2 linked regions of the Canis lupus familiaris genome follow. The protein of the gene in region 1 interacts with the protein of each later gene in a biochemical or structural test. Links are inferred from orthologs where the notes say so. Each region holds a gene or a part of one and is shown on either strand. Other genes may lie near its edges.

Region 1 (16,335 bases):
TATTTTTATTTGTATTATCTCATTTAATTCCTTAATTGTGAAGATCAAAGGAGATATAGAAGTGCTTTGGAAAATACAAAGTTTCTTTGATTCTGTTTCTGAAAAGAATGATGAACTTATTTGCCTTTAGCGACCTGGGGCATTTGCTATTTACCTGGAACCTTGGCATTTAGACATTTTTGAGTTTCTTGATTTAAAGAAGAACACGGGAAAGGAAGAACAGCGTGCCAGGGACCTTTTCTTTGCTCTTTGGATTCCAGATCTGTTCATGAAACGAGTGGAGACTAATCAGGTGAGAAATAGGTACCTTTTGGTAAGAACAACTTGATTCATATCAGCTTTCTTTTTTCATCAGCTTTCATCTTAAATCAAACTTAGGAAGAGCTCACCTATGTGTTATGCTACGGAAGGCACTTTAAAACAATTTAAGATATGGCATTCCTGCCCTCTTGGATTTTTATTCTCTAAAGCAGATGCTATCTGATCTAAAATACTTAAAGGGTCATGTAGAAATAGGCAGAACTAGGTGTTTGAGCCTGAGTCCAAAATGATTAATTCTATAGCAGATTCCCAAGAGAGTCTATGGAAGCCATCTTATCCCTTGCAGTATTCCTAATGGACTATGCAGTTGTTTTTTTTTTTTTTTTTTTTTTTTAAGATTTTATTTATTTATTCATGAGAAACACATTGAGGAGAGAGAGAGAGGCAGAGACGCAGGCAGAGGGAGAAGCAGTCTCCATGCAGGGAGCAGTCTCCATGCAGGGAGCCAACTTGATCCTGGGTCTCCAGGATCACGCCCCGGGCTGGAGGCAGCGCTAAACCGCTGAGCCACCCGGGCTGCCCTCAGTTGGTTATTTGAAGTCTCTTATGAGTTCTTCCCTTTGTAGGACTGGTCTTTGATGTGTCCAAATGAATGTCCTGGATTGGATGAGGTTTGGGGAGAGGAATTTGAAAAGCTATATGAAAGGTATGGTAAAAATATGAAAGTAATAATTTTTAACCATGTGTTTCTTTTATTTGGGGGATCCAAATTTCAAAACATCAGTCATTAGGCAGTTTCTAGGAATCTTCAGAAATATGCAGGAGAGAATGTAATTAATAATTTTATTTTGGTCAGATTTGCTACCTGAATCTTCACCAAAATTTGGTTTGTATCTTCCTTCTTAAAACTTTGGGACTTACTTTGGTGCTTTAGTTTTTAATCGATACTTATAAAAATGAAAGTAAAGGGTTATTTTGTTTTGTTATACAGTACATTTGATTGAATTAGTTATGCTTTATATTGCCCACAGAAACCAAGAACAGCTTGGACACGTGTCAGTAGTTCATTAAATAATAGCACAGTGGTAGATTTGACCACTTTAGATGTTATTCCTTCCTTAAGAACGGTATTGTTGATATAGTGGGATTTGAGTATATTCTAAATGGGTCCAAAGCTGCCTGATTTTCCTCTGTAGCTTTAGCCACAGTAAAATGAATATCCTATTCCTTTTCTTTCCCCTTCTCTCTTAGCAAAACATAGTAAACATTTAAGAGTTTTCATAATTTTATATCTTAGTGTCTTCAAGTTGTCTACAATAAAGATTTTCTTAGGGAATATTTAAAGTAATATTAGCTTTGCCTTTCAGTTATGAGAAACAGGGTCGTGTCCGCAAAGTTGTAAAAGCTCAACAGCTTTGGTATGCCATCATTGAGTCTCAGACAGAGACAGGTACCCCGTACATGCTCTACAAAGATTCCTGTAATCGGAAAAGCAACCAGCAGAACTTGGGAACGATCAAATGCAGCAACCTGTGCACAGAAATAGTAGAGTATACCAGCAAAGATGAGGTAGGTAGACAAACTTCTGCCCAAGTCCTGAGAGAATAATCTTAGGTAGTTATTATTTGTGAATCCCTCACTTGATTTCACTTGAGATGGGGGAAGGGAGTTTTCATAGTTTGCTGTAAGTAGAAGGCACTAAAATAGAGATGACAAAGGAAAGAACACGTGTGATCTGTGCCCTTAAATATCTTACAGTCTAAACCATGTGGAAAAGATTATCACTTTTTTCTTACACACACATTGTTGTAATAATCTTTTCTTAGTGTTCAGTTATGGTGGATTAAGACAAACACAAGAGAATATATCAGGATGTTCATTCAAATTAAAGTATGTAAATAGGTAGAGAGTCCATTCAGTAAATGGTGAGGTAAAATTCTAATCTCAAATCTTTAAAGCAATTCACAGAAGAGGCAAGGCTAGAAATAGGACATAGATTTGTTTTCTTTGTTTGCTTTTTAAAAAATATTGTATTTATTTATTTGAGATTGAGCATGAGCTAAGGAGCAGAGGGAAGGGGAGAAGAAGACTCCCCACTGAGCAGAGAGCTCAACACAAGGCTCGATCCCAGGACCTTGGGATCATGACCTGAGCCAAAGGCATATGCTTAACCAACTGAGCCACCCAGGCACACCAGTTGTTTTTTTTTTTGTTGTTGTTGTTTAATCTTATGAAAAAATTTTCCATTTGGGAAGAACAGCCTGTCAGATCTGAGACAGGAATAGGTTTTATGCAGAGAATGTCAAGTAAGTTTGTTTTGATGGAGCAAATACATTATGGTTTGGTATATGGAGAGATAGGCTATGGCTGGGGGAGGGGAGATAGTAGGTGAAATGTCTGGCATGTCACAGAGTAGAAAGCCCTCATAAGTTCCAAAAAGGAAAATAGCTTCAAAAGGCTGGGATGTGAAGGATAGTTCTTGTTTCTGGTAATAATTGAGTGTCTTGCTGTGAAAGGAAGTTGGAGGTTAGCTTATGGAGATTATTATAGTTTTTGGATGACAGGCTGCTTGGATGTTGGATGTAAACTTTGGAGATGAGGAAGAAAGAGCAGATACCATCTGCTAGGACCTAAAAAACATGACAAATGAAAAGTGGGGAAGAAAATGATTAAGTGAATTAAACATACTGCAGTTTAATTTAGCCAGAGGTAGTGAGCACTAGCTATAGGTAAGGCACTGTACCAGGTGCTCTGGGATGTAAATGATTATGGCTCAGGCCCTGCCCTTTAGAAACTTATAATTCATTATTGGAGAAAATATACCATACTCAAGTAACTATTGTACAGGATAGATTATGCTATAGAGACCCTCTTAAAACACAAATCAGACCATATCATTCCTCCACACAGCACTCCTCTTTGACTTTCCGTCCCATGCAGAGTTTGTTCATTCTTTTTTAAAATTGAAATATAATTCTCATACCATAAAATTCATCCTTCTAAGTGCACATATCAGTGTTTTTTAGTATATCTACAAGGTTGTGTAACCGTCATTAATATCTAATTCTAGAACACTTTCCATCAACACAGAAAGAAACCTTGTATCCATTAGCAGTAGCTTGCCAGTTGCCTTCCTTCCCCATCTCTGGCAACTCTTAATCTGTTTTCTGCCTCTGGATTTGCTTCTTGTGGACATTCTGTATAAACAGAATCATATAATATGATATGGTGGTCTGTTCTATCAGGCTTATTTCACTTAGCATGTTTTCAAGGCTTATCTGTGTTGTAATATGTATTGGTATTTTATTCATTTCCATCCAGAATTCCTACAGTGCTCTGAGTTCATGCACAACTGGGTATGCCCATCTCATCTACTGTTAGTTTCCTCCTTGCTCACTGTGCTCCCGCCCTATAATTTCCAGATATATCAAGTACACTCTGTCATCAGGATTTATGCTTTTACTTTGTTAAAATGCTCTCCCCCGCCAAATAGTCACATGGCTTGCCGTCTAACCTTTTCTTTTTTCTTTTCAAAGATTTTATTTATTTATTCATGAGACACACACACACACACAGAGGCAGAGACACAGGCAGAGAGAGAAGCAGGTTCCATGCCGGAAGCCCGACATGGGATTTGATCTTCGGTCTCCAGGATCAGGCCCTGGGCCGAAGGTGGCACTAAACCGCTGAGCCACCCCGGCTGCCCCTAGCTTTTCATTTCATTGTTCGTATGTCTCATTCTCAGTGAGGTCTTTCTTGTCAACTCTGTTTAAAAATGGCACTCCTTCTGTCCTTATTCCTAGAACCCTTTTGTCTTTTCCTGCCTTATTTCTCTCCCTTGCATTCATTAGACTTGTGTAGTCTGAGCTGTGCTTTAAACATGCATAACGTGCAGAATTGAGTAGGTACGATGAGCATGAGAGAGTCTAGTTGAGAGGAGTTGAGATTGTGGGTTAGGATAGTCATAATCAAAATGAAAAAGAAAGTGTATTCATTTAACATTATTAAGCATTTTTTATATACCAGATGTGATACTAGTACTAAAAAATATAAGGGTAAATGAAATACAATTCTTTCCTGGAAAAGTTTACCACCTAGTGTAGTGTAGTGGAAAATCACCTGAAGAGCTTTTTTAAAATTCACAAACTTGGATCCCCTGTTGTTAGGGGCTTATCAGAATCTCAGTGAGAGTAAGGGAGGATTGTATAATTTGGAAGACCTTTTTACAGTGATGGAAATGTATCTGGTAGTTACTGAGCACATGACTAGTGCAACTGAGAAACTGAATTTTTAATTTTTTTTAAATAACTATATATGACTAGTGGCTACTGTATTGGACAGCACACATCTACTGACAGACAGATACACGTAAGAAATTATAGCACGATGGGAGGTATGTCTGGACTATGGAACACAGATTCTCTGTCTTATCTATTTCACTGGTCCATGTTACAACTCACATGTGAATAGGTACTGGGATTTAGAAATGAATTATGAAGAGGTTGAAGATAAAGATAAAAATTTTATAGTGTTAGAGGCTTACATGATGTCATTGACACAGGGGGAAGAAATAAAAATTGTGTGATTCTTGACCCATTTTCATTGCATTCCAGGTTGCAGTCTGTAACTTGGCTTCCCTGGCCCTGAATATGTATGTTACATCAGAACACACATACGATTTTAAGAAGCTGGCTGAAGTCACCAAAGTCATTGTCCGAAACTTGAATAAAATTATTGATATTAACTATTACCCTGTCCCAGAGGTATGAATAGAGGTCTTTGCTTCTTGGTAATTATTGAAATTAAGTTGGAGGGAGTTTATAATGGTCTGCCAGTCATCATTTAAATGGCTATCATTGGAATGATGTGAGAAAACAGATAAAAAGAGAACATGTTATTATTTGGTATAGATTGTTGCCTCTCCTGTTCAATAATGTCTCCTTCTTTAAATCTCCTGGCACAAAGGCATGCTTATCAAATAAACGCCATCGCCCCATTGGAATTGGGGTACAAGGTCTGGCAGATGCTTTTATTCTGATGAGGTATCCTTTTGAGAGTCCAGAAGCCCAGCTACTGAATAAGCAAATCTTTGAAACCATTTATTATGGAGCCTTGGAGGCCAGCTGTGACCTGGCCAAGGAGCATGGGCCATATGAAACCTATGAAGGTTCTCCAGTCAGCAGAGGAGTAAGTATATGGATGAAATTTCTTTTTGCCTGTGAGTTCCTATAGTTGGCTGAATGGTAGTCTTCAAAAAGATATTCGCATCCTAATCTCTGGAACCTATGAATGTTACTTTTTTGGATTTAAAAAGGGTCTTTGCAGATGTAATTAAGGATTTTGAAGTGAGATTATCCTGGATTACCCCAGTGGGCCATAAATCCAGTGACAGTAGTCCTTGTGAGAGACAGAAGAGGAGGAGGCAACATGACCATGGAGGCAGAGGTGGGAGTAATGCATCTAGAACCCAAGAATGCCAGTAGCCACTAGAACTGAAAGAGCCAAAGAACAGAATCTCCTCTAGAGCCTGTGGAGGGAGTGTGGCCCTGCCAACATGTTCATTTTGGGCTTCTGGCTTCCAGAACTATGAGAGAATAAATTTTAGTTATTTTAAGCTGCCAAATTTATGGTGATTTGTTATACCAGCCATAAGAAACTAATATGGTACTTTTGCTCTCTAGAGTAAAAAGGATACTCTATTTTAATGTTTTTTTTTAAGATTTTATTTTATTGTATTATTTATTTTTAGATTTATTTATTTATTTGAGAGAGAAAGAGAGAACAAGCTGAGGGAAGAGCCAGAGAGAGAGGGAGAAGCAAACTCCCTTCTGAGCAGAGAGCCCCATGTGGGGCTCGATTCCAGGACCCCAGGATCATGACCTGAGCCAAAGGCAGATGCTTAACTGACTGAGCCACCCAGTTGCCCCAAGATTATATTTTTAAGTAATCTCTACACCTAACATGGAGCTTGAACTTACAACTCTGAGATCAAGAGTTGCATGCTTCACCCACTGAGCCAGCCAGACACTCCTTTATTTTAATGTTTTATTTAGAACTAGTCATTGGTAAAAGTGACTTAAGAAGAATACTAACTGTATTAGTTTTCTTTTGCTAAATTTAGTTAGATTAAAACAACATACATTATCTCTATTCCCTTGAGTCAAGGATGCAAGCTTGCCTAGCTGGGTTTTCTTAGGGTCTCACAAGGTTATACTAAAGCTGTTGATAGGACTATGGTCTCCTCTTGAGATCAGAGTCCTTTTTGAAGCTCATCTGGTTGTTGACAGAATTCATTTGTACTTGTAGAACCCATGACATTGTGCTTCTTCAAAGCCAGTAGGAGGGAGAATCTCTCATTTCAGGAAGGCCCCAGCCCAATTGCTCTTCTGAGGGTTTTCATCTGATATGTGAGGTCTACCCAGGATAATCTTTCTTTTCTTTAATCAAAATTAATTGATAAGTAACGTTAATTACACTTGCATAAACTTTTCACCTTTGCCATAATTATGTGAGTGACATCCACCACATTCCCAGTTCTTGTCCACACTCAGGAGGACATTGTACATGTCCTGGCACCAGGGAGTCAAAACTTGGAAACTGTCTTAGAATCTGCTTCCCACACTGCCTTCATTATTGGTAGTATGAGTCTCTTCAGTGTAAAATAAAATATTATGTTATTTTTAGTCCTGGTGTTCCTGCTGATATTTAGGAAATCTGATAACTAGTAGTTTGAAAACAGGTATTTAATAACTAAATAAATCAATCAAGGCAACTAAGAAAGATGGAATTTTTACTGTACAAAAAGAGAATGCATCTCAACAACATACTTACATGAATATTGGGATTTCCTGATTTGTAGATATAATACGGATCTTCTGAGGGCTCACAGCAGGGATTTGGGGAAAAGCTAAGGCTTTACCAGTTTTCTTAGCCTGCTTTTGATCAATATGACTGCATGAAAGTTTGTCCAGGGAAATCTTTGGACCTTTGGACAGTTCTACTAGAAGACATTTGTTGGGTTGTGGGGCATGGCAGATAGTCATTTGGTTTTTGTTATGGTTTCAAATTGTTATAGAGTGATTTATCATAAATTTGCATTGTTTGTTCTCTAGATCCTTCAGTATGATATGTGGAATGTTACTCCCACAGAACTATGGGACTGGAAACTTCTCAAGGAAAAGATTGCAAAGTAAGCAAAGAGATGTAAGGTAGCTTTGAAGTAAGGAGGGTTGGTTCTCATTCTGGCTTTCAGAAATTAGGCATGTTATTTAAACTTCTGAAACTCATTTTTTCTCTTTCAAATGGGGCTAAAATGACCTATCTACAGAACTATTTTTTTTATAAATTTATTTTTTATTGGTGTTCAATTTGCCAACATATAGAATAACATGCAGTGCTCATCCCGTCAAGTGCCCCCCTCAGTGCCCGCCACCCAGTCACCCCCACCCCCCACCCACCTCCCCTTCCACCACCCCTAGTTCGTTTCCCAGAGTTAGGAGTCTTTCATGTTCTGTCTCCCTTTCTGATATTTCCCACTCATTTTTTCTCCTTTCCCCTTTATTCCCTTTCACTATTTTTTATATTCCCCAAATGAATGAGACCATATAATGTTTGTCCTTCTCTGATTGACTTATTTCACTCAGCATAATACCCTCCAATTCCATCCATGTCGAAGCAAATGGTAGGTATTTGTTGTTTCTAATGACTGAGTAATATTCCATTGTATACATAGACCACGTCTTACAGGACTATTTCTGTAAAAATACTTTGTAAGATAAATGTATGAACAGTAACCTACAAATTGCTTGGTACAATGAAAGCATTTTTAAAAAAATATTTTATTTAAATTCAATTTGCCAACAAACAGTGTAACACCCAGTGCTCATCATCAAGTGCCCTCCTAGTTCCCCCATCCGCCCACCCTCATAAATGGTAGGTACTATTGTTAGCTGGTTATGTTTTAGGGGTTTAACTACCTGGATGAAGCAATTCTTTTTCTCATTAAACTTTCATATTTCCAAGTGTGCTTGCTTTTTATATGTTTTTCACTTTTATTTGTTGCTTAACTCTACTGGGCTCCTAAATGACTTTTGCTGAATTGATTGTCCTAGGAGTAAGTTAAGGATTTTGGAAGAGCTTTTGGAGTTTAATGTATTAAATTGTGTGGTAGAAAAATGTAAATCTTGAGGTTGTTAAGGCTTTTCAAATTAATAAACATAAAAGGTTTAAAGGTGGGAAAATGTTTTGCTTAGTGAATAATAAAACAAATTGTTTTTACTTTCTTCATGAGCCTATCCTCTCTGGGTTAATGCATATCCAAAGTGATGTGTACAGGAGGAAGCAGTTGCTTTTTGTCTTAAATTTGTTTATTTGCCTTTAAATTGTTTTATTACTAGGAAAAAAATGTTTTAAACTAGGAAAATGTATGTGTGAAAGGGAGAAAAATGAAAATTATCCCAGTACGACCTCCTCCTAAAAACCTGTTTATATCTTTGTCTTTCATTTTTCAGAATTTCTTCTGAATGTGTATATTTACATACAAATTCAACTTTTACAAAAAGACCTGTATTTTATTTTTTTTTCCAAATACTGTATAGATATTTTTCTATACATAACTTTTTAGCATTTCACAATTAATACATGAATAACAAAGTTCAAATATGGAAATAAAACAGAAGGTGAAAGTTCTTTTTAATCCTCTTGTGCCAACTACTTGTTCTACAAAACATAAGCCAACTTATTCCTTTTCCTAGAAATAAACATTTTCTAGACCTTTTTCAGTACATTTAGAGATGCACAGTTTTGTTTTAAAACTGTGATCAAACTTGACATATTCTAAGACTTTTAGTGATTTATTTTGGCCATCTTTTCTTCCTAGTACATGCAGATCTACCTAATGCTTTTAATGGTTACAGAGCATTCCATAGTTTGGTATGTCCTGTATAGATGACTTTTCAAAACATTTTCCTTTCTTTGGACAGGAAATCACTGTCCATTTTACTGAGGAAGAAAGACATGAAGTGAGTTGATCGTTTGCTTGATGCCTCAAAACTAGAAAGTGAGAAAGTGAGATTAAGATCTCAGTTGTATAGATTCCATTAGGATATGAAGCTTTAAGCTAAGTACTGTATAAATCCAGAGGTATAGAATATAAGAAAGATAAACTCTATGTTTGAGAAACTTAAGACTAAGTAAGGGTAAGACATGAAGTATAGGTAAAGTATATATATAAAGGTACAGGTCATAGAAAATGTTTGCAGGAGAAATATTTATAACTAGTACTTATTTTTAATATTGTCTACCTGGTCAGGAAGATGTTCCTAGAGTGGTCATCTCTTAGGCTGAGCTTTGAAGGATGAGCTAAGAGCAGTTTGAAGATTTCTCAGTGTTCAGATAGTATATTCTTCCCTAAGCACGTTCTTTGTCAGTGAGTAGAGTCAAAAGATGTTAACCTTCCTCTCTAGGAACTTATGATTGAAGAAGTAATAGAAGTCAGGAATATACTTTGAGCATAATTTTTCCCTTTGGAGAATTTTGGTGACATGTCCGATTCTGACCACTTTCACATCATTATGTTTCCTGAAAGGGCTTAGCACAGTGATCAAATGAGCACTTAGAAAACAATGAGGATTGAATGAATGTACCCTGATTAGGACTCTTCAACAGCCATTTGGTTATTTCCTTGGGGAAGCTAGTGTATCAAGTGCTAATAAGTCATAGTGTGATAAGAATCGCCAGCAGTAAAATTGTGCTAATTTTGTTTAGGAGTTTAGGAGAGGGGTGAGCTATATCATCCATACTGTGAAGTTGCGTCTCTATAGCGGTTAAATTCAAGTCATTATGTGAGTCTAATGCATGTATTATGTCACTCACAGCATCTGCATTTACCCCAGTGACTTAACTAGCTACCTTCCTGGCAGATTATAGCTTTAGTACCAACACCTAATAATCTCCTTTTCTTTAGGTATGGTGTAAGAAACAGTTTACTTATTGCCCCAATGCCTACTGCTTCAACTGCTCAGATTCTGGGAAATAATGAGTCCATTGAACCTTATACCAGCAACATCTATACTCGAAGAGTCTTATCAGGAGAATTTCAGGTGAGAAGATTACGACTGGACCTACAGGAGATCTTGCAAAAGCGTGATGTTAGGAGTAAATGCCAACTCATGTTTGGTATGTCTCTTTTGCTTAGTATGGGTGCAAAGCTTTGATACAGTGAGTCATCTTCATCTCCAATATTATTCTGTGTTATTTGATAATAGACATTCAATAAATATCTGTGAAAAGAATAAATGATTGAAGGTTGGGTAGAAAAGTAACTTCTTGATATTAGAGTTCACATATTTAACCATTATGTAATCATAATTATATGCACTGTAACTTCAGATGTTTAAGTCGATAATAACTCAAGATGTATATAGAAGCAAAAAGTATATGGAACCATGACAATTGTTTTCAGCCTTGTTTACAAATTAGAATTTCTGGTGGATAGGACCAGTGTTTTTTAATGTTCCCAGATAATTCTAATGTGCAACTAGGGTTAAGAACTACTAATTTAAAAGATTTTTATTTGTGAATTTCCAGATCTGAAATAAATTTCTTTAAGTTTGGAGTGGATACATTACTAATTTTTCTTAACTATTTATTGTATCCTTACTTGGGGGAGGGGGAATTAATCCCCATAGATTTACCCATTTTAGGCAATGCTAGTTCTTTTTACTTTTGCAAATATTATGTTTCTTGAATTACAGATCAAGATTTTAAAGGAATATAACTTTTGATTGGTAGGATGGGCCTCTCAGTCTTACAAGATAGAGAATTTACCGACTAATCTAATGTTAAATACTTCTTCAGTGATCTTATTTACTTTAAGCTCCAAGCCTGTGATCCTATTTAGGCCCTGTCATTCTTATTTATTCCTTGACATCTTGGTTTTTTATTCAGATTGTGAATCCTCACTTACTAAAGGATCTTACTGAGCGGGGCTTGTGGAATGAAGAGATGAAAAATCAGATTATTGCATGCAATGGTTCTATCCAGGTACAGAATGAAAATCATGTGTGTTCTTTAGAAGCTACATTGGTACCTTCTCACTTATCCCATGCAGTAGAGAGAAAGGTTATTCACTGTGGTCATTTAGGCTATGTTCACCTTTGCATTGTTGTGCTAGGATTATATACATCTTCACATAGCTAGGCTTTTACTGTCTTGTTTGTGCAATAATATAAAGCGTAGTTTCCAACTTCTCTGTACTTTAGAATCAGTGGGAGCTTTAAAAATTTTGAAGCTTAGGTTGTACTCCCAAACAAGTAAATTAGAATGTCTGGAAATGGGAGCCAGGCATTACTATTTTTTAAAGATGCCCTAGGTCATTCCAAAATGCATCAAAGTTTGGGGGACCACTGATATAAAGTGTGAAATTAGAAAGTTAAACTTAATTAAAAAGCAAAAGTGGAGACTGAAGACTCAAAGTCCGAAAAACAGAGCCACAGATATTGTTTAACAATAGAATATTTGCAGCAGAGAATCAAGAAGTATTTATATGTAGATGGAGCCCTCTGTCTAAACATTTGTTTCCTTGGCAAAACAGAGAAGGATTTCTCTAACATTTCTATATTTGCTGACAGAAATTGTAGCATTAGCTAGTTTGTATGTTTTGATGGCATATTAACCCTAGACCTAAGAAAACATTATTTCTATTGACTCCGAAACAGGTTCGTTTCATTGCTTCCATTGATTTTCTACTTGTGAGTTACAGTCCTGATTACTTGTGTTTTCTTTAAAACTCAAGGATCATTTGTTGCTGCTTAGCTCCATCTTTTATTAAGTACCTCTAAAACAATGAATGTTTTGACTATAATCCAAATAGAAATGGATCTTAAATCATTACCACCAGCCAGATACTTTGTTGGTTAAATGAGGTTTTGTTGGTCATTCCAAGGCAGAGGTGAGCAGTCTTGGGAAACTTGATAAGGATCATATTATATGATACTGAATGGTATGGTCAGATCTGGCAGGAAGAATTAAGGCCAGACCCTTGTGTCGTTAATTATGTTAATTATACTGATTTCTTCAGCCAGACTGTGATAAACATTTGGTTTTCCTTCTTCAGAGCATTCCAGAAATCCCTGATGACCTGAAGCAACTTTATAAGACTGTGTGGGAAATTTCCCAGAAAATCGTTCTTAAGATGGCAGCTGAAAGAGGCGCTTTCATTGATCAAAGCCAGTCTTTGAACATCCACATTGCTGAGCCTAACTATGGCAAACTCACCAGTATGCACTTCTATGGCTGGAAGCAGGTTGGTAGAGGAAATCAAGGAGGACTTGTTGCCTGCTTGGGATATTTTGGAATTGGAACAATACAAATTCCAAATACAATTTTGTATTCTAGCTACTTAATATTGCCATCTAGCAGTTCTTCCACTTCAAATCCAGTATGTTAAAACCAAATCATGGTTTTTGTACCAGATCAGGGGCTCACTTTGGATATCCTTGTTTCTTTTGGGATTATTTCATTCTTAGGTTTGAAACCTTGGAGTTACCTACACTTCTCCCCTTATTCTCCATACAATTACTCACTAAGTTGTGGTGGTTGTTCCTTTCTACTATTTCTTGAATATCTTTCTTCCTGTTCCATTGCCATTATTCTTAATTTCTTAACTGATCTCCCTGTTTCTGGTATCTGCTCCAGGCTGTCTTGTGCACTGCTATCATTTCTAAAGTAAAACTTTATGCCTATCAACCCACTATTCAAAAACATCCATTGTTTCCCCACTTTAACTATCTACAGTATAAATGCCAGTTACCTACCTTGGCATTGCCAGCTGTAAAGTCCTATAATCCTGTATTCTATCCTTTTTTACCTGGCAGTCTGCTGGGTATTTATATAGATGTATATATATTTTTTTAATTTAAGAGACATTTATTGAATACATCCTGTGTACTAAGACTGAGGATACCAAATAGAAGATATGATGATCTTTATCCTTGAAATAGTCATCATCTGTTCTTTATAGAGACGCAGTCTAGCTCCCTAAATAGTTAAAAAGCAGACATGTTGTCATAGGCAAACTTGGAAGTCATACACATAATACAAAACCTAGAGAACAAAAATATTTGACATTTCCAAAGAGGTAAGCTTTTTTAGGGATAAAAGGAATGTAATATACTGTCTCTTTTTTTTTTCTTTTTTAAGGAAGAGTGGACTTTTAAAAAAGTTTAAATTCAATTAATTAACATATAGTATACTATTAATTTCAGAGATAAAGATCAGTGATTCATCACTCTTATATAATACCCAGCACTCATTACATCATATGCCCTCCATCATCTAGTAACCCTATCCTCTCACCCGCCTCCTCTCTGGCAAACCTCAGTTTGTTTCCTGTGATGAAGAGTCTCTTATGGTTTGTTTCCTTTTCTGATTTCATCTTGTTATATTTTTCCCTCCTTTCTTCTATGATCCTCTGTGCTGTTTCTTAAATTCCACATATATGAGTCAGGTCATATAATTGTCTTTCTCTGATTAATTTATTTCACTTAGCATAATGCACTCTAGTTCCATCCATGTTGTTGCAAATGGCAGGATTTCATATTTTTTTGATGGCTGAGTACTATTCCAGTGTGTGTGTGTGTGTGTGTGTGTGTGTGTGTGTGTGTATCCATTCATCTGTTGATGGACATATGGGCTTTTTCATAATTTGGCTATTGTGGACATTGCTGCTATAAACATTGCCGTGCAGGTGCCCCTTCAGATCACTCCATTTGTATCTTTAGGGAAAATACCTAGTAGTGCAATTGCTGGGTTGTAGGGTAGCTCTTTTCAACTTTTTGAGTAACTTCCATACTATTTCCAGAGTGACTGCACAAGCTGGCATTCCCACCAAAAGTATAAGAAGGCTCCTCTTTCTCCTCATCCTTGCTAAAATCTGTTGTTTCCTGATTTGTTAATTTTAGCCATTTTGACCAGTGTGAAGTGGTATATAATATAGCCTTTTATCTGAGAAGACATTTACAAATATCTTCTTTCATTCTATTAGTTGTCTTTTGGTTTTGTTGACTGTTTTCTTTGCTGTGCAAAAGCTTTTTATCTTGATGAAGTCTCAATAGTTCATTTTTGCCTTTGTTTTCCTTGCCTTTGGAATACTGTTTGACTCTTCCTTTAAGCATTTTTGAGAAGGCTTCCTAGAGGAGTTGGAATTTCAAGTTTAGAAAACATTCTGACGTGGTTTATGGAAATGTATTTTAAACATTGGTCTTGAATGTCTAGTGTTCTTACAATTTTTTTTGTTTTGTATTCTTACAATTTCTGATAGTTGTATTTGCTTCCTTGTAGGGTTTGAAGACTGGGATGTATTACTTAAGGACACGACCAGCAGCAAATCCAATCCAGTTCACTCTAAATAAGGAGAAGCTGAAAGATAAGGAGAAGGCAACAAAAGAAGAAGAAGAGAAGGAAAGGAACACAGCAGCCATGGTGTGCTCTTTGGAGAATAGAGAGGAGTGTCTGATGTGTGGGTCCTGAGGAAAGGCTTAGAAGAGACCAGCACTTCTTCACAGACAAACTACTTCTTGAGCATAGATAGGCATTGTAGGTTTGTTTGAAGTGCTAAGGCTTTGCTGGATCTCATTGCAGCAAAAGGATCAGTCAATTTAAAGTACTGTTTCTATATAGTGTGAAAGTATTGATTTTAAAAATTGGTATTTTGGGAATCAAAGTAGAAGTTTTAGGAGTGCAAAACAAGTCACCTTGCAAATAAGGAATGATTGAGTAGGGTTTCATTGCCCACCTGGCACCCCTTTTCTGGTGACCTCAGTTTTCATAAGGAGACATGGTTTTGCTGCTTTGACTGGTGAGTCCATAGACGCAAAACTGAGTCCTAACCTGTGAGAAGTGCTGATAGGACCTTTCTCTGGATAAGGTCCTATAGGTCATTCTGAAATAAACATTTCTAAGTGATTGTGTGAGACCAAATTTGTCATTTATTTTCATACAAAGGTCAAATTTGGAAAAAAAAATTTCTGTTCTTTGAGAGTTCAGGGAAGAAATTTAAAAAAAAATTACTTAGATTCTGTGTTGAATTCTGATCTTAACATATGCCTATTTCCTCTTTTTATTGTGGTAAAATATACTTAACATAAATGTTACTGTTTTACCCACTTTAAAAAGCATACAATTTAGTGCCACTGAGTACATATATAATATACAACTATACCACTACTACCTATTTCCAGAAATTTTTTATCATCCCAAACATAAACTAAAGCAGTAATTCCTCATCTCCTTCTCTTAATCCCTGGTAACCTCTGTTTTACTTTGTCTTTGAAGTTACTTATTCTAGGTATCTCATATAAATGGGATACTATAATATGTGACCTTTTGTGTCTGGCTTTCTTCACAAAGCATGTTTTCATGGTTCATGTAGCATATAGCAGAATTTAATTCCTCTTAAAGGCTGAGTAATATTCCACTGTATGTCACATTTGTCTACCCATTCATTTGTTAATGGACATTGGGGTTATTCCCACCTTTTGGTGATTGTGAATACTGCTGCTATGAACATTGATGCATAAGTATCTATTTGGATTACTGTTTTCAATTTTGAGGGGTTTGTACCTAGAAGTGGAATTGTGGGACTATATAATTCTATGTTTAACTTTTTGAGGAACTGCCAGACTTTTCTATTGGAGCTGCACCATTTGGCATTCCTACCAGTTGTGCATGGGAGTTCCAGTTACTCCACATCTTTGCCAACACTTGCTAGTTTTTTGTATTTTTTATAATAGCCAACTAATGGCTTTTGACAGTTTGATTTTTATGTATCTTGGTGTGGATCCCTGAGTTTATCCACCTTGATCGTTGGACTACTTGGATCAGTAGCTTCACACCTTTCATTAAATTTGGGACGTTTTTAGCCATTATTTCTTCAGATAATCTTTTTGCCCCTTTCTCTTTCTTTTCGTTCTGGGACTTCCATAATGTACCTTTTGTTCCACTGCTTGTTTCCCACAGTCTCTTAGAGTTCATTCACTTTTCTTGATTCTTTTTCTGTTCCTTAGACTCAGTAAT
Region 2 (15,261 bases), on another chromosome or scaffold:
AAGTTACTAAAGAGGATTAGATTTGGGACACCTGGGTGGCTCAGCAGCAGTTGAGTGTCTGCCTTGGGCTCAGGGCATGACCCCGGGGTCCTGGGATGGAGTCCCCGCATCAGACTTTCTCCAGTAAGCCTTTCTGCCTTAAAGTCCTTTTTTTCTTATGACACAGGGTAGCCCAGGGCTTTCCCTCATCCTTCCCACCCCTTTGCATTACGTAACGTTCAGAAACAGCTTCTAGCTAGAGTTCTTTTCATCAAATCTTGAGTTTCTGTGATTTTAACTGGTCTACTCACATGAATTGGTCTTATTGATCTACCAAGCTTTCCATTGACTTCTCTTGCCTTTTTTTTTTCTATTAGACCGATCACCTTTTCACTCTGCCACCGCTTTGAAAGTGACACGCTCTGGTGTGTTCTTGTAAGAACTGTAGACTCGGGGATCCCTGGGTGGCACAGCGGTTTGGCGCCTGCCTTTGGCCCAGGGCGCGATCCTGGAGACCCGGGATCGAATCCCACATCAGGCTCCTGGTGCATGGAGCCTGCTTCTCCCTCTGCCTATGTCTCTGCGCCCCTCTCTCTCTCTCTCTCTCTGTGACTATCATAAATAAATAAAAAAAATAAAATTCTTTAAAAAAAAAAAAAAAGAACTGTAGACTTCACGTTATCTGGTGTTGAGCCTGCTGGCCTGCTCTTTTTTTTTTTTTTTTAATTTTTTATTTATTTATGATAGTCACAGAGAGAGAGAGAGAGGCAGAGACACAGGCAGAGGGAGAAGCAGGCTCCATGCACCGGGAGCCCGACGTGGGATTCAATCCCGGGTCTCCAGGATCGTGCCCCGGGCCAAAGGCAGGCACCAAACCGCTGCGCCACCCAGGGATCCCTGGCCTGCTCTTATTTACAGCACAGGGACCTGCTATATCGTCTAGTGTTCTGGGTCCACTTGATTTTATCAGTACTTAGATTCACTACCCGCTGACCTTTCTTCACTCACTGCCATCCTTTCTTTTGGTTCAATTTTCTCTGTAAAGTGTATTCTTTAGTCATTCTTTTGAAGAAGGGGTATGAATGAACTTTGTCTGAAGTCTCTCTTACTTTCAAATAAGTTTATTTTCTCAGCACTTAAAGATTTGGTCCCATAACCTTTTGGCTTCAACTGCAGTGCTGTTGAAAATTTTGCTTAATAATTACTCCTTTATAGATCTACCATTCCTGTAAACTTTAATGACATTTGTCCATATACTCTGCAGATTCACTATAAATGGGCCTAGATATGGATATTTTTAAGACTTTATTTATTCATGAGAGACACAGAGGGGCAGAGACACAGGCAGAGGGAGAAGCAGGTTCTTTTTTTTTTGGGGGAGAAGCAGGTTCCACGCAGGGAACCCGACATGGGACTCGATGATCCTGGGTCTCCAGGATCACACCTGAAGGCAGCGCTAAACCGCTGAGCCACCCAGGCTGCCCTGGATTTATTTTCATTGGGATTCCTTGCACTTTTTGATTGAGTCACTTCTAGAAAATCATCAGTCATCATCTCTTTAAATATTAGCTATCCAGTCCCTCAGGAACACTTTGTTTAAAAATAACATGCGCCCCCCCCTTCCATCATCCACATCTCCCTCCCATCTACTTCTCAGTAATCCCTCAGGTCCCTTCCCATCAATACACCCTCAGCTGTGTCTCCTCTTACTAAGCATCTTTCTTTTTTTAAACTCCAAGACCTTTAATTCCAGTAATTTTGCTATATTCCAAAAACTGTAGCAAGTTTTTAAAAAATCATCCCATTTCTTTAGAATATTGTTCTTTGGGTTTTCATTTTTCCCCCCTGAACCCATTATATCATCATGTATCATCTTAATTTTAAGTTTCTGGATTTTTAAAAATATTTATTTTTAGAAAGAGGGTGTGGGTAGGAGGGCCAGAGGGAGAGACTCTCAAGCACTCTCCATTGAGCACAGAGCCCAACCAGGGGCTCGCTCTCAGGACCCCGGAGATCATGACCTGAGCCAAAATCAGGAGTTGGACCCTTAACCAACTGAGCCACCCAGGTGCCAGTTTCTGGATTTTCATACCTGTGGTTCCTACAATCATGTGGTTTCCTCCTGTGTTTTAAAATTGGCAAGGATGAACACCATCTGTGAGAATCACATGCACCCAGGTTGGGCTGACATATGTTTCTAGACCACAAACTTGTGAGTGGTACAGGCCTGGGGTTGTGACTTTGGAGTCCAGGAAAACGAATACGTTTATCCCCCCTACCCCTACCCCATGGGATTATCTCCTAGCCCCACTTCACTAGGGGTCCTGGCTTGATAGCAGGTTCTGGCTCTAGCTCCTCCACTAATAGAGGTCAATCTCTCCCCTCCAGATCCAATAGGTGTTTGGTCCCTCACCCCCCAATTTCTCTAAGGGAGGAAGAACTACCCTCCCAGAGCTGCAATGAGCCTGTTTTCCCAGTCCCGGTCTGTTCCCGGCATCAGAAAATTGCCCTTTCTTAGGAAATCATTACCCACTTAACTTTTATGATGACTGGCCAAGTTTTTAAAACTGGGGGTGGGTGTCCAGGTCACCTCAGTTTGCTCTCTTGCTGGAACCACCAGTACTTAGAGGCAGGCCAAGGGGTCTGTGGTCCCTGAACCTTACATCCACAGTGGGTTTAGCCACTCATCAGAAAACATCCTGATGTGAGGATCCCCTGCAGGGAACAAGGGCCATCACGGATCACACTCTCAAGTGCCCAGAGTACACCAGGGAGGTAGCCTCCTCTACAGAAGCAGAGTCGGGGGGAGAGAGATGATGGGGTGTGGGGTATGCTATCAGCCTTCTCTGGGTCCAACAGGCCAAGCCATACAATCCTACTCTCTCAAAAGCCAAAGCAGTTCCCCGGGGAGCTGCAACCATATTGCTATGCAGAATTAAACCACTATTAGGATCTCCAGGCCAATGGTGGCAGAGCTCTTCATCCTCAATGGCACACATAAACAGCCAGTCAGCAACCTAGCCAGATGGCCTTAATACCCATCCAGTTCCAGCTCCACAAGAAGCCGGTCATCAGCTCAGATCACAGGCCACGGCGAGCAGACAATTCTGACTCCGTGGCCTAACCACTTAACTGATGCAGGTCCTCTAGGTGAAGTATGAGAAGTGTGTTCTAGAGTGGGCAGCTGGCACAGGTGGCCCACAGGGAAGCTGTTTTAAGTTGATCCTGAGAGCATGGCTGCCCAGAACACCCCATTGGGCCTGCCACCACCCTGATCTTACACATCCAATGACATTAGAGTGCCCTTGGGGTATGAAGGCAACAATCTCAGGTTCGTCCAAGACACAGAACACACCTGCTCCCAAGACCTCACCCACCCCAAAATACTCAGCTCAAATTAATTTCTCATTCACCAGGGCCCAATCCTAGGAGCCTTTATGCTAAGACACAGGTAAGGACCTGAATGTGCCTTCTACAGGAGCCTTGGCAGGAAGACCAGGAAGAGAATCTGGAGGACCAGTCCCCACCTCCCTCCTCCTCCTCCACAGAGAAACAAGATCACCCCCCAACACAAGCTTCTCCTAATGCTCCCATCCACCTCAAGTTCTCGGCTATGCCTTCCCTGCCCTGGCTCATGGTCTAACCGAGTCACTCACACCTCAGCTTCCTCCTTGGGAACCTAAGCTGCAGAGGGCTGGCTAGGTTCCCTGCCACCTCTCCTATGCTTCAGAACAGTGCCTGATGGGGCAGCTGTGGTCACACACATACCTGCAGATTTCAAGTGGCAGGATAGACAAGGTCATGAGTTCAGAAAGGCTTTAGGAAGGTAGGCCAGGAAAAGCCATTCATAGACAGAGGGACTAATCCCAGCCCACCAAGAAGTCCACGCAGCTCAATTTGGTGAGGAAGAGCAAAGCGAGGAAGACCCACCCACATCATGTAACAAGATAGGAAAACTGAGGCCGAGCAGCAGCTCACCCACGGATGTTGGGAATTTAAGCCCCCTCTATCCTGACTTACAGACTCCGTGGGCAGCATAGGGAATGCTTTTGACCATCACCTCTCAGGCACCCCTTCTCCTATAGACCTTATGCCAGAACAGGGATCAGAAGTCCCCTCCTCAAAATGGATGAAAAGCAAATAAACTCAAATCTTCAGGAAAAGTATTTTTCTTCCTAAACTGAAATGCGAATTAATTTATCAAGGAACGGACATAAGAACAGCTCATTTAATCCCAGTGCAGTATTCAATTTTGAGACTTTGAAACGCTTGACTAAAACCTGCTTCCCTCTAAACGGCTTAGGAAACGGAATCGGAGTTGGCAAAAATTAATCCTCACGTTACGCACCAAAGGGAGGCAGGATCTGAAAATCTGCTTCCGACTTCCGTCTGCACCCGACACGCGAGGCAAAAACGTTTATTCACCTTTGTGTTGCACAAGGGTAAGAACCACATTATCTAGATTCACTTCAGGTAACAATAATTTAAAAGACAGCCACCGTTACAGAAATTTTTAAATTGACTATTTGACAATTTATACAATAAATGAAGAAAACTGACAAAAAAACAGGTCAGTGATCACCCAACACAAAAAGACAGGTTAACAAATGTGGCCAAAGGATCAGTGCGTATCATCCACCACCTTCTCGTAACCTCCTGGCTGGGTTTTTTGTTTTTTTTTCTTTTTTTTTTTTTTTGATGGGGAGGGAGAAAGCAGGGGTAACACAAAGACAGGTTGATTCAAACTAATCCTATTAAGTATATTATTTTATACTTCTTTCTAAAATTACTGTGTGAACAGAACCTGTATTAATATAGCTCATGCAACTCTAGTTTTCTACTGCAGGTCAGGAATCCAACAAGGTAATGCTCAGATTGAGGCAAAAGCTGGAAGTAAGTGCCCTGAAGACTATCTGCTCCAATCATGAACTGCACTAACTGAGCAATTATTTCAAAATATGAACCAGATATAAAAGAACAAAAAAACAGAAGAAATATCTAATTGAAAAAACATGTAGTAGACACAAATGGATTAGGTCAACATTACCTACTTACAAATTAGACCAAATCAGAGAAAATGCTCAACTTTCCGGGGAGCCAATTTCAGTTCTGGTTGTGCCACTTAATTGGAGCAAGATCCTAAGCGGGTCAATTCGTGCAAGGATTGATTTCAAAATCAATTTACAATATTATCTCAGACCCTACAGCTAAGGATCTAAGGATCTTCTTTCTATAAGAACTCAAGGTGGGGGAAAATGTGGTTTGAGAAATAAAAGGATGCTGATCCTCGCACACCCCCAGGCGACCAGCAGTCAGCCTACATCACACTTCAAGCTCTAATGATTTAATTGGAACCTCCTTTCCCCTCTTATCCACAATACTTGACCTGGCCTCCAAAATATAAAACACAACCTGCGTTTCTTCATGGCACCAAGTGGCTAATACCTAGGTATATGAAGGATTGACTTTAAAGTTGATTAAAGAGAACATCAATTCATTATAGAAAATAAACAGAAATAACATGCTTGATTCACACAGGTTTGATGGACTTTTTGGTTACCTAGTAAATTGCAAACTGGCTCCCATTAGTGGTCAATAGAATGCTCTGCATTTGGGCTAGAAACCAGATTAAGTTAAATCAAGCCTTTATTTCAACAGTACAAACTATGTTTATTTGTGTGTAAAGTGCCAGTTTTATATAAAAATCGGTACGTAAACTTAAAAATCTGCTTTGAAGCACAGAGGCTGACACCGCCCGAGGGCCTTAGACTAACTAATTAATCGTGCTAGATCAGACTCACTTGAGTCCCCACACTTTTGAGACCTGACTGCCACCAAGAGCCACTGTGAAGTCAGTGGACAGCCAGCCTGCCCGCAAAAGCCAAACACGGCCAATATCTTTCATTAAGAATCCGAGTAGCTTTTTGTCTATGCTTCTTTCTGGGTGAGACGACTAGCATTAACTGATCAACAGGCTTGCTTATGAGGTAGCTACACAGTTTTAACAATACTATTAATGAACGTTATGGATGATTCATGGTGTAGCTGGTTTGATACACTTCAAGTAGCTGATTTTTTTTTTTTTTGATGAGAAAGGGAAAAAAAAAAATCAGCAAAGAGCACATCTTCATTCACTTAGAAGTCAGCATCCAAGGTAAACGAATTCTCTGTTGGACTTGACATCACTCCCATCCTCTGATACTCGCCTACTCTCTTCTCAAAGAAGTTAGTCTTCCCTTCCAGTGAAATATTCTCCATAAAGTCAAATGGATTTTCTACTCTGAAAACCTGAAAAGGTTCACAGGAAAATTTAAATACAGAACAGCAGTTTCAGGAGAACCAGAAGGCTATAAACAATACTGTACCTTGCTAAAACCGAGCTCCAGCATAAGTCGGTCTGCCACGAATTCAATATACTGCTTCATTAACGTGCAATTCATCCCAATGAGCTTCACTGGCAAAGCCTCCGTGAGGAACTCCTAGGGATCGAAACGCAGCTTCTCAATAGAACAGAAGCATAAAGACCTCTTCTGGTGAGCACAAGAGACCCTCCTGTATCACCCACCTGTTCTATCCTAACGGCATTGATAATTATTTCCTTCACCCTCTGCTCTGAAGGTTTGTGGACCAGGTGTTTGAACATCAGGCAGGCAAAGTCACAGTGTAAACCCTAGAAGAAAAGGTTTAAGATCACTATAAAACCAGACGTCTATCGTTAACGTGAAACAGGAAATGGCTTTACCCTTTTCTGCATTCTCCTCATATGTCTCATGCGAACATACTAAAAGCACTTAAAACTGTCAAAGGGAAAAGGATTTCAACTGCCATCTGCTCTGTGTAGGTCACGGCAGGTTCAGCCTTATCCCAAGGCCCTCAACACTGCTACCCAGGGCAATGACAGCAGGCCAAGTCTGTTCCCTGCTGCCCCATACAGGAGCACAGGACAGGGTAGGACTTCAGCTCAAAGCATTTTTTTCTACATCCGTGAGCTCTCATTTTGCCACTATTCCCAGCAGTGACTAGGCTGCTTTGAGATTGACTTGGCTGGTTTTGAGATTTACAACCTAATGGTCAGGAAATCAGTGATGCAACTGCCAGTGAATGGAGTCTACAAGTCTTAGTGCCAAGTAACCCTGATGTTCCTAGATCAGAAGGAAGAACTTACAAAGCAAGATCAACTTATTGGTCACTGGGCTCCAAGCATGACAGGGTCTGTGGCTCTGGCTTTGCCAACTAGAATCAAATGAGAGCATCTAGACATCTTCGCCTTTCCCTCCAGCTTAATCCAAGTGCAGTCAAAGACAGGACACTGGACCAGAAGGATTCTCACTTCCTTTAGGATGCTTATCGACCAACTTTGGAGCACAGTAGGCTCATACAGGAGACTGGACGAGTATTGAGAATACAAGTACTTTCAATATATTTCATGTTCTACCAAGCCCAGATATGGCTGAATTCATGTTCAATGTGGACATGAGGCAACATTTTATCGAGTTCCCTTCAGTGAACCAAAGAGTTGTAGATGTTTGGGGTGCACATTAGCCTGAATTAGACTCACCTCATCTCTGCTAATAAGTTCATTGGAAAACGTGAGGCCAGGCATCAGGCCCCGTTTCTTGAGCCAGAATATTGACGCAAAAGAACCCGAAAAGAAGATTCCTTCCACGGCAGCAAAGGCCACAACCCGTTCTCCTGTGAAGAGTTAACACCGACATGGTTCCGGTGAGCAACCGTACATGTGCACAGGAAGGGCCAACAAACCATGATGTCACTTAGAGGATGAAACTCAGGCATCCGTGGGGCCAAGTGGCCTTACCATAGGTAGCTTCTTTGTCCCCAATCCAACGCAAGGCCCAATCTGCCTTCTTCTTTACACAAGGCATCGTCTCAATGGCGTTGAAGAGAAATTCCCTAGGAGACACCCAGAATATCAGCAATTACAGCAAAGACTTCCTACCACAAACATGTAGAGAACACTGGGACCAAGGCGAAATTGAGACTCAAAACTGAAATGTTTTCTCATTACCTTTTTTGCTTCCCACCCCCCACCAAGTGTTCTTTTTAAAATCCCAACATTCATTTGGCTCCTGTTAATACCAAAATAGGTATTCTTTACTTCACAAGGAGCCCTGAGATCTACTAACCTTAAAAGTCTTAGTCCATTACACCAAGAACATTTATCGGCTTTTATTATATCAAGTCCAGGTCATGACAAAGTTCACAGGCCCTATCTTTAAACTTGAGAAGCCATAAAATCTTAACTGCTAAGACTATTTAAGCTACGCTGACCATTATCTTCCTAGGTAGCACCATCTTCACTAATCATATCGGGCTAATTATATAGGCCCCAAATGCCATATGGATATAATAAAATAATTAAAGCCAATAAACCGAATAATCTGAGCTTGCTTCCTACTTATAAGTCTATACTTACACTGATGATCCCAGATCAGGAAAGTAAATCAACTGTCCCCCCGACTTGCCTAGTTCTTCCTTATTATCCTCTTCCGCCTTCTGTGCCCAGCTTGGGAGTCTAGATTCCCCAGCCTGTCCCTTTATCAGGTGACCTTGTCTTCTGAACCCAAGGTCATTAGAGCAACCACATTGCTCTCTTCATTCTCTTTCCATGTCGACATCCTGAGACCAGGGTCTGCCTCTCCCTAGCTTTTGAACCACCAGACCCTCCTGATCCTACTGCCCATTCTGTTTATTTATCTCAGTCAGGCCTACGTTTATCCTTCCTCATTTCGGTCTATAAACTTGTCTCCCGAAGCCTGCCAGCCCTTCCAAGCCACCACTCATTTTTCCCCTTCACATTATTCCAGATAAGCCACAAGAGCCTACTTTACAGCTCTATCACTTCTGTACCACGCAGGACTCTCATCCTGAAGTTGACCTTGGTATCTAGACCACTCACACGGCCATTTCTAACTTTCTCCTCCTCTCCAATCTGGAAAATGTAAAACTGGCCTCAAGCTACCTTGATTTCTCCTCTGTGATCCCATAATGCAAACCCATCTCCTCACACAGTCCTGTGCCTAAACTCATCTATCAGTAAACTGCTGCCTTTGCTTCACTCTAGAATCTCTCTCTTAAACTTATTTTCTGTACCACATTACAAGGTCTTTAAGAGGAAAAGTAACGTTCTATTTGGATGTGTCCTCTATTCCCCTCCACTTTGCCCCAGCTTCTCGTTTGAGGTTAACAGATTTGCACATGAGTAAAAACTGTCAGACCTAGGATTTCCTTCATCGTACAGCCTCTATGGATGTGTTTTGTTTTGGAAGAAAGACACTGGATTCAATGACCAACAGTATACTCCCATCTCTAAAAATGGAGTAACCTCATGACTTTTTTTTTTTAAGATTTTATTAAAAAAAAAAAAAAAGATTTTATTTATTTATTCATGGGAGACACAGAGAGAGATGCAGCAGAACACAGGCAGAGGGAGAAACAGGCTCCATGCAGGGAGCCCAATACAGGACCCGATCCCGGAAACCTCAGATCATGTCCTGAGCTGATGGCAGACGCTCAACAACTGACCCATCCAGGTGTCCCTCATGACTTGTTTTTAAGTGACTGGCTAATAAAGTGAGTTTAGGCCTCTTCCTCAGAGCACACAGGACGAGGGGCAGTAGAAACTGCCTTGTCTGCCTGCCTAGTCACTTGGAATCCTTCTACCCCTATGTAACCGCGAAAAGTTGAAATATTTTAACAATTAGTGAATCCTGAACACGTTGGCAGACCACCCAAATACTCACCTTTCTTTGGAATCTTTAATATAAGTGTCAATGAGGAGACTATACATCTCAGAGTGGATGTTTTCCATGGCAATTTGGAAGCCATAGAAACAGCGGGCTTCCGTAATCTGAACTTCTTGGCTAAACCGCTCCACCTAGTGGTAAAACACATCACAATTCAGCTCCAGGAACATCCACTCAGGATCCTGGATACATCACACTCCCTTTGCAGTATTATAAGGTTTGTTTCTATTTTTAGAAACAATACGTTTTCACTATTCTGGGGTAAAGCTGGACATTTTATGCCAAAATTTTACCTCAATTTACAGATCAGGAAACAGATAAGGTCTATTTTATAGGGATTATGCAAACATTCTTCATTTCTTCCTAGTCCACTGCAGGAAGGAACCACTCACAATAAGACATATATGGAATCAAATTTTTTTAAAAAAGCAAAGCCACAAAAAAGAAACAATGTCATAGTCATAAGGAGTAAACCTATTCCTACCACTTGACATTGTCTTTAAGCTTCTTGAGCCCGGAGGGGGGACAATGACTAACCCTAAAGAAGAAACAACTGCAAAGTAGATTATAAAACAGGAAACACCATGTAATAGAACTACCAGCTTACAAATACAGAACTTAAAAAGATGAGGAAAGAGGATTAGTTTTTTTCTGGAATGACTTGGCCCGTTTCTTTAATCTGGAAGCGAACGAAAGCAGATGTTTTTTTGGAAACTCACCAAGTTTTCATTTACTATGCCATCGCTCGCTGCAAAGAAAGCCAGAACATGGGATATAAAATATCTCTCCTCAGGCTTCAGGGATTCCCAGTGCTGAATGTCCTTGGAAAGATCCACCTGAGGTTTAAGAGGTTCACAAGGGACGGTAAGCATGTGGGGCCGTACACACACATACCTAACCCTTAGACCTTCTTCTGTTAAGTGTCCTGACACCACTTGATCGGGAACATCCCTCCCATGCTCAGCTCCCTTTGCCACTTAGAACGTCTCACATCCTCAGTGGGCAACCATCCCCAAGAGGGGCAAGAGGAAGAGTTAAGTATATTTCAAGCAAGTTGCATCCACTCCTGCAGGGGGCTTCCTCTGGGGGCAACGCTTACTACACTTAACCTTGTAGGGCCCCAGCTCCTGCCTCGGGTTACCTCTTCGGCTGTCCAAAAGGAAGCCTCCGCTTTCTTATACATCTGCCAAATATCATGGTACTCGATAGGGAAGATGACAAAGCGACGGGGGTTTTCTCTCAGCAGTGGTTCCTCCTCCGCGCTGGGGGCAAGTACCTTAGTTTTCTGTGGGGGTGAGAAAGTAATGAAATGTCTCTGGTAGGGCGAACCACATGAAATCGCCACTTTTTGCGGCCCAGCGCGTTCAGTTACCGGCAATCCCGTGTGGTTCGGCGTGTCAAGTGTCGGCTGTCACACACGGCATGGTACAGAGAACACAACCGGGGTGCAAGAGGGGAAAGGGGGGAGTGTGCGCAAGTGTGAGGAAGGGCAGACAGGAGCGGGAGGGAATGCCTTGGCGGGAAAGGAGCGCGGGCCGGGGAGTGGCTGGGTTAGAAACGCAGGGGAGACAATGAGGCTTTGGCGCCAACAGGCGGCGGGCGCCCCCTGCCGGCAGCGCCCCGCCCGCACAGGCCGCTTCCCCGCCGGCCGCCCCGCCACTCACCGGCTCGGCGGGCTCCTGGAAGATCCTCCGGGCGGTCTTGCTGGCCAGCACGCGGGTGCCGCTGAGGGCCGGGGGCTGCGGGGAGACGCGCGGTGAGGGGCAGCCCCAGCCCTCAGGTCCCCGCCCCCGGGCCCGCGCGCGCGCTCACCGTGTTCTCCTTGTCCGCCAGGCTGAGCCCCTTGAGGGGCGAGAGCTGGAGCTGCTGCTGCTGCTGCTGGGGGTCCGCGATGGTGGCGAGCGGGACGCGGACGGAGAGCATGGCGGCGGCAGGCGGGCTCGGCGGCGGCGGCGGCGCAGGTCCGGGGAGCCCCCGCGCCGCCGGGCCGGCCTTTAAAAGCCCACCGCCGAGGGGCGCGCGCGGTGGGCGTGGCCAGGCGCCGCCTTCCCATTGGATGCGCCGCCGGACGTCCGCGATTCGAGAGCCGCGCGGGAGCCCCCGCCGCCGGCCGCCCCGGACCCTGCGCGACCCCTCGGGGACCCCCGGGACCCCCGGGACCCCCGGGCCCGCCCACCGCGCGAGGGGCGCCGCCGCCCGGCCCCTGCGGGCCCCCGCCCGGGCGAAGGGTGCAGCCCCCGCGCGATTCGGTGGCCGTGGCGCGCGCGGGACTCGCCTACCCGGGAACCGCTCGGGATTGAATGAAGCAACGCGATTGGAGGCCGCCCGGGAGCGGGCGGGAGACCATTCCCCCACCCCTGAACCGTTTTCGCGGGTTGAGGCGAGTGGTTTTGCAAATGAGGTTGGTGCAAATGCCTGGAAACGCCCCTGGCTGCGAGAGACGAGCGCGGGGTTGCGACCGTTTAGGTACGTGTCTCTGGGTGGGGGGTTAGGGGTCCTCGAGTTCCGGCTGACCTGGCGGCCGGAGGGTCGGCGACAACCGTGCTGCCTAACGGTTAGGGTCGCTGGCCACGGAGTCCCGCAGTGCAGTTGCTGTGTCCCTCACCTGGTTGTAAAACATTCCTTGCCCTCCTTGGTAAAATGGGACTTGTCGCCCGACCTAACCTGTGGGATCATTAATAAAATGAGATCAGTGCGATAATTCTGGTAAAAATGCACAGTCCTTTGTAAAGCCGAGTTAACTAAATGCCAGAGAGGGCCTTTGGTACAGTTTGCCCCTGAACTTGTGCCTGGTGTCAGACCACCTTCCCCTGTGTCAGCATTTTTAAAAATCAGAAGCTGAGCAAAAACATCTTGAAAGCTTGAAGAACTGGGAATTCATCTACTGCTTATTGGGCATCAAGTAGTCTGAAGAGATTGAAAACCTGCATTGTCATGAGGCAGACACGAATTCATTAACAGTTTTTGTTTTACTTTGTATTTGGTTTTTCAGATTTGCCAGACATTTGCCGTGCAAGTGGCAAAATGCCAGAAGTGAAGAGAAAGAAATGTTAATAACCAAGAAATAAATGATTCCCCTGTGAAAAGTTCCAAAATCTGCAAACACTCTTAGGGCTGTCACTAAGAGAAACACTGGACTTTTTACAGGGTCTTTTCTAGATATTATAAAGAGGTCAGAGGTAGGGAAGATCCCCCTCCTCACTTGGGTCTGTTTCTTCCATTTCTTAGTACCACGTACATACTGTGTTTAATGTATTCTCAAGCCTCAGAGAAAGATCAGTGACGATCCTAGCCCTTAGACAAAGCAGTAACTAAAACTTTGGTCTAGCATCCTTAGTTTTAAAGCAACTCGCAGGCATTGTCAATGCCACCTTCCTTCAGCATCCAGCTCCAGAAAAATGGGTATTGTTAGAGATGATTTTATGGCTGATAAAGCCATTATCACATCTAATAAATGTATCAAGGATGCCCTGGTATCCTCCACTACCCAACTCACATTCCGATTTCGCATCATCCATAACCGAAGTGCTCCTTTCGGTTGCTGTCTCGGGCACCATGTGCTTTTTGCTTAGCTCCTGTTATATACTCTGTATGTACAGGAACCCATGAAAGTATCACTCTGTGAGCCAGCCAGAATTTGACTTCGTTCTTAGCTTCACTTTTTCCTGACTCCCCAAACAACACGGGTGCACTGTAGAAAACTGGGAAAGACCAGAAGTAGGTAGCACGAGGCAGAAAGAAAGGTCGCCGCCATTCTCCCCTTCAGCCCTCCCGACGGTGAGTCACGGGGGCACGTCCCGTGCTCCCTCCTCCGCGCTCCGGCTGCTCGGACTTTCCAAGAGGAAGCGGGCGCCGAAAGCTACGTGGCCCCGCTCGGAGGTGGGCTTCGGGCCCCCGGTGCCTCCTCTCTGCCCTGCGGCCCGGAGAGAGACGGGGGCGCACGGCCAGACCGGGGGACCCGGGCGCCGCGACGGGATGCGCGCCGCGGCCGCCACGCGCCAGCACCAGGCACCGCGCGTCTGCGGTTCCTTTTCGTTTCCTCTGGGCGCCCGTTTTGACATCTGCTCCACGATTGGCCGGCGGGAGGGAGAGGCTCCGCCCCCAGCCTCCAGAGGGCGGGGCCTCGGCGCCCAGCCCCGCCCCCCCCCACTTCCGGGCCCGCGCTCCCGCCGCCCCGCCCCTCGCGGTTGCGCCTTTACCCATCCTCCTCCCTCCAGCGGGCAGGGCGAGGTGGCCCCTAAGGGGTCACTTCCCCATCCACCCCCCACAGGCAGAGGCCCGGGCCGGGAGCTCAAGCGGCTTTCTCAAAGCCACTGCTCACTCCCCCAGACACCTGCCAGGGACCGCCTGTTAACCCTCCTGGCGACAGCCACCCCGCAGCCCCTGGGCACCTGAGCCAGGTGCTTCGGGCTTGTAACCCAGACAACCGTGTGGGGGGCTTTCAGGCCTTTTCAGGTGAAGAAAGGAAGGCCAAGGAGGCAAGGAGACTGCCCAAGGTCACACAGCTCCAACCGCACAGCTAGAATTTTTCTGCCCCAACTTCTTATTTCATTTTAGAGGTAGGATTGAGTGTTCATCAGTTGCACAGAACACCCAGCACTCACTCCTGCCCTCCTGAAAGCCCATCACCCCTAACCCCGTCCTCCTACTCACCTCCACCCCAGCCACTCTGTTTATTTCCTGGAGTTAAGAGTCTCTTATGGTTTACCTCCCTCTCAATTATCCTCTTACTTTTTCCTTCCCTTCCCCTATGTTCATCTGTTTTGTTTCTGAAATACCACATATGAGTGAAATCATGGTATTTGCCTTTTTCTAACTGACCAGTATTGCTTGGCATGATACCCTCTAGCTCCATCCACATCACTGTGAATGGCAACGTTTCATTCTTTTTCATGGCTGAGTAATATTCCATCGTAGGTATATACCACCACATCTTTTTCTTTTTTAAGATTTTTATTTATTCATTTGAGAGAGCAAGAGCACTAGCAGATGTGTGTGTATGGGGGAGGGGGTTAGAGGGAGAGAGAGAAGCAGACTCCCCTCCCCCACGCAGGGTGCCTGACCTGGGGCTCAATCCCAGGACCCCAGATCAGGACCTGAGCCGTAGGCAGACACTTAACTGACTGAGCCATGCAGGTGCCCCTACCACATCTTCTCTATCCATTCACATGTCAATGGACATCTGGGCTCTTTCCATAGATTGGCTATTGTGGACATTGCTCTAAACATTGGGGTGAATGTACCACTTTTAGTCACTTATCTTTTGGATGAATACCTGGTAGTGCAATTGCTGGGTCATAGGATAATTCTATTTTTAACTTTTTGAGGAACTTCCATACTGTTTTCCAGAGTGGCTGCATGAGTTTGCACTCCTACTAACAGTGTAAGAGGGCTCCCCTTCCTCCACATCTTCACCAACATCAGTTATTTCCGGAGTTGTTCATTTTAGCCATTCTCTCCCTCAACTTTTTATTAGGAATATTTCAACAGACACAAAAATGGAAAGAATTCTCCAGCG

What was found.
Region 2: the proteins of RRM1 (region 1) and RRM2 form a complex in vitro, tested with the Homo sapiens proteins (3 studies listed by BioGRID and IntAct). The link is inferred for Canis lupus familiaris from reciprocal best matches to the Homo sapiens genes RRM1 and RRM2.

What each region holds. Positions count from the first base shown.
Region 1 is NC_049242.1:26,734,596-26,750,930, forward strand, and holds the end of RRM1 (ribonucleoside-diphosphate reductase large subunit), read left to right. Parts: intron 1-130; coding exon 131-292; intron 293-887; coding exon 888-967; intron 968-1,628; coding exon 1,629-1,830; intron 1,831-4,874; coding exon 4,875-5,024; intron 5,025-5,226; coding exon 5,227-5,448; intron 5,449-7,373; coding exon 7,374-7,450; intron 7,451-10,225; coding exon 10,226-10,361; intron 10,362-11,208; coding exon 11,209-11,304; intron 11,305-12,376; coding exon 12,377-12,565; intron 12,566-14,601; coding exon 14,602-14,790; 3' UTR 14,791-15,235; downstream 15,236-16,335. UniProt on the Homo sapiens protein: Provides the precursors necessary for DNA synthesis. Catalyzes the biosynthesis of deoxyribonucleotides from the corresponding ribonucleotides.
Region 2 is NC_049238.1:7,108,968-7,124,228, reverse strand, and holds RRM2 (ribonucleoside-diphosphate reductase subunit M2), read right to left. Parts: upstream 11,715-15,261; 5' UTR 11,667-11,714; coding exon 11,556-11,666; intron 11,483-11,555; coding exon 11,408-11,482; intron 11,029-11,407; coding exon 10,885-11,028; intron 10,580-10,884; coding exon 10,463-10,579; intron 9,875-10,462; coding exon 9,741-9,874; intron 7,891-9,740; coding exon 7,796-7,890; intron 7,672-7,795; coding exon 7,538-7,671; intron 6,650-7,537; coding exon 6,545-6,649; intron 6,459-6,544; coding exon 6,345-6,458; intron 6,268-6,344; coding exon 6,115-6,267; 3' UTR 4,363-6,114; downstream 1-4,362. UniProt on the Homo sapiens protein: Provides the precursors necessary for DNA synthesis. Catalyzes the biosynthesis of deoxyribonucleotides from the corresponding ribonucleotides. Inhibits Wnt signaling.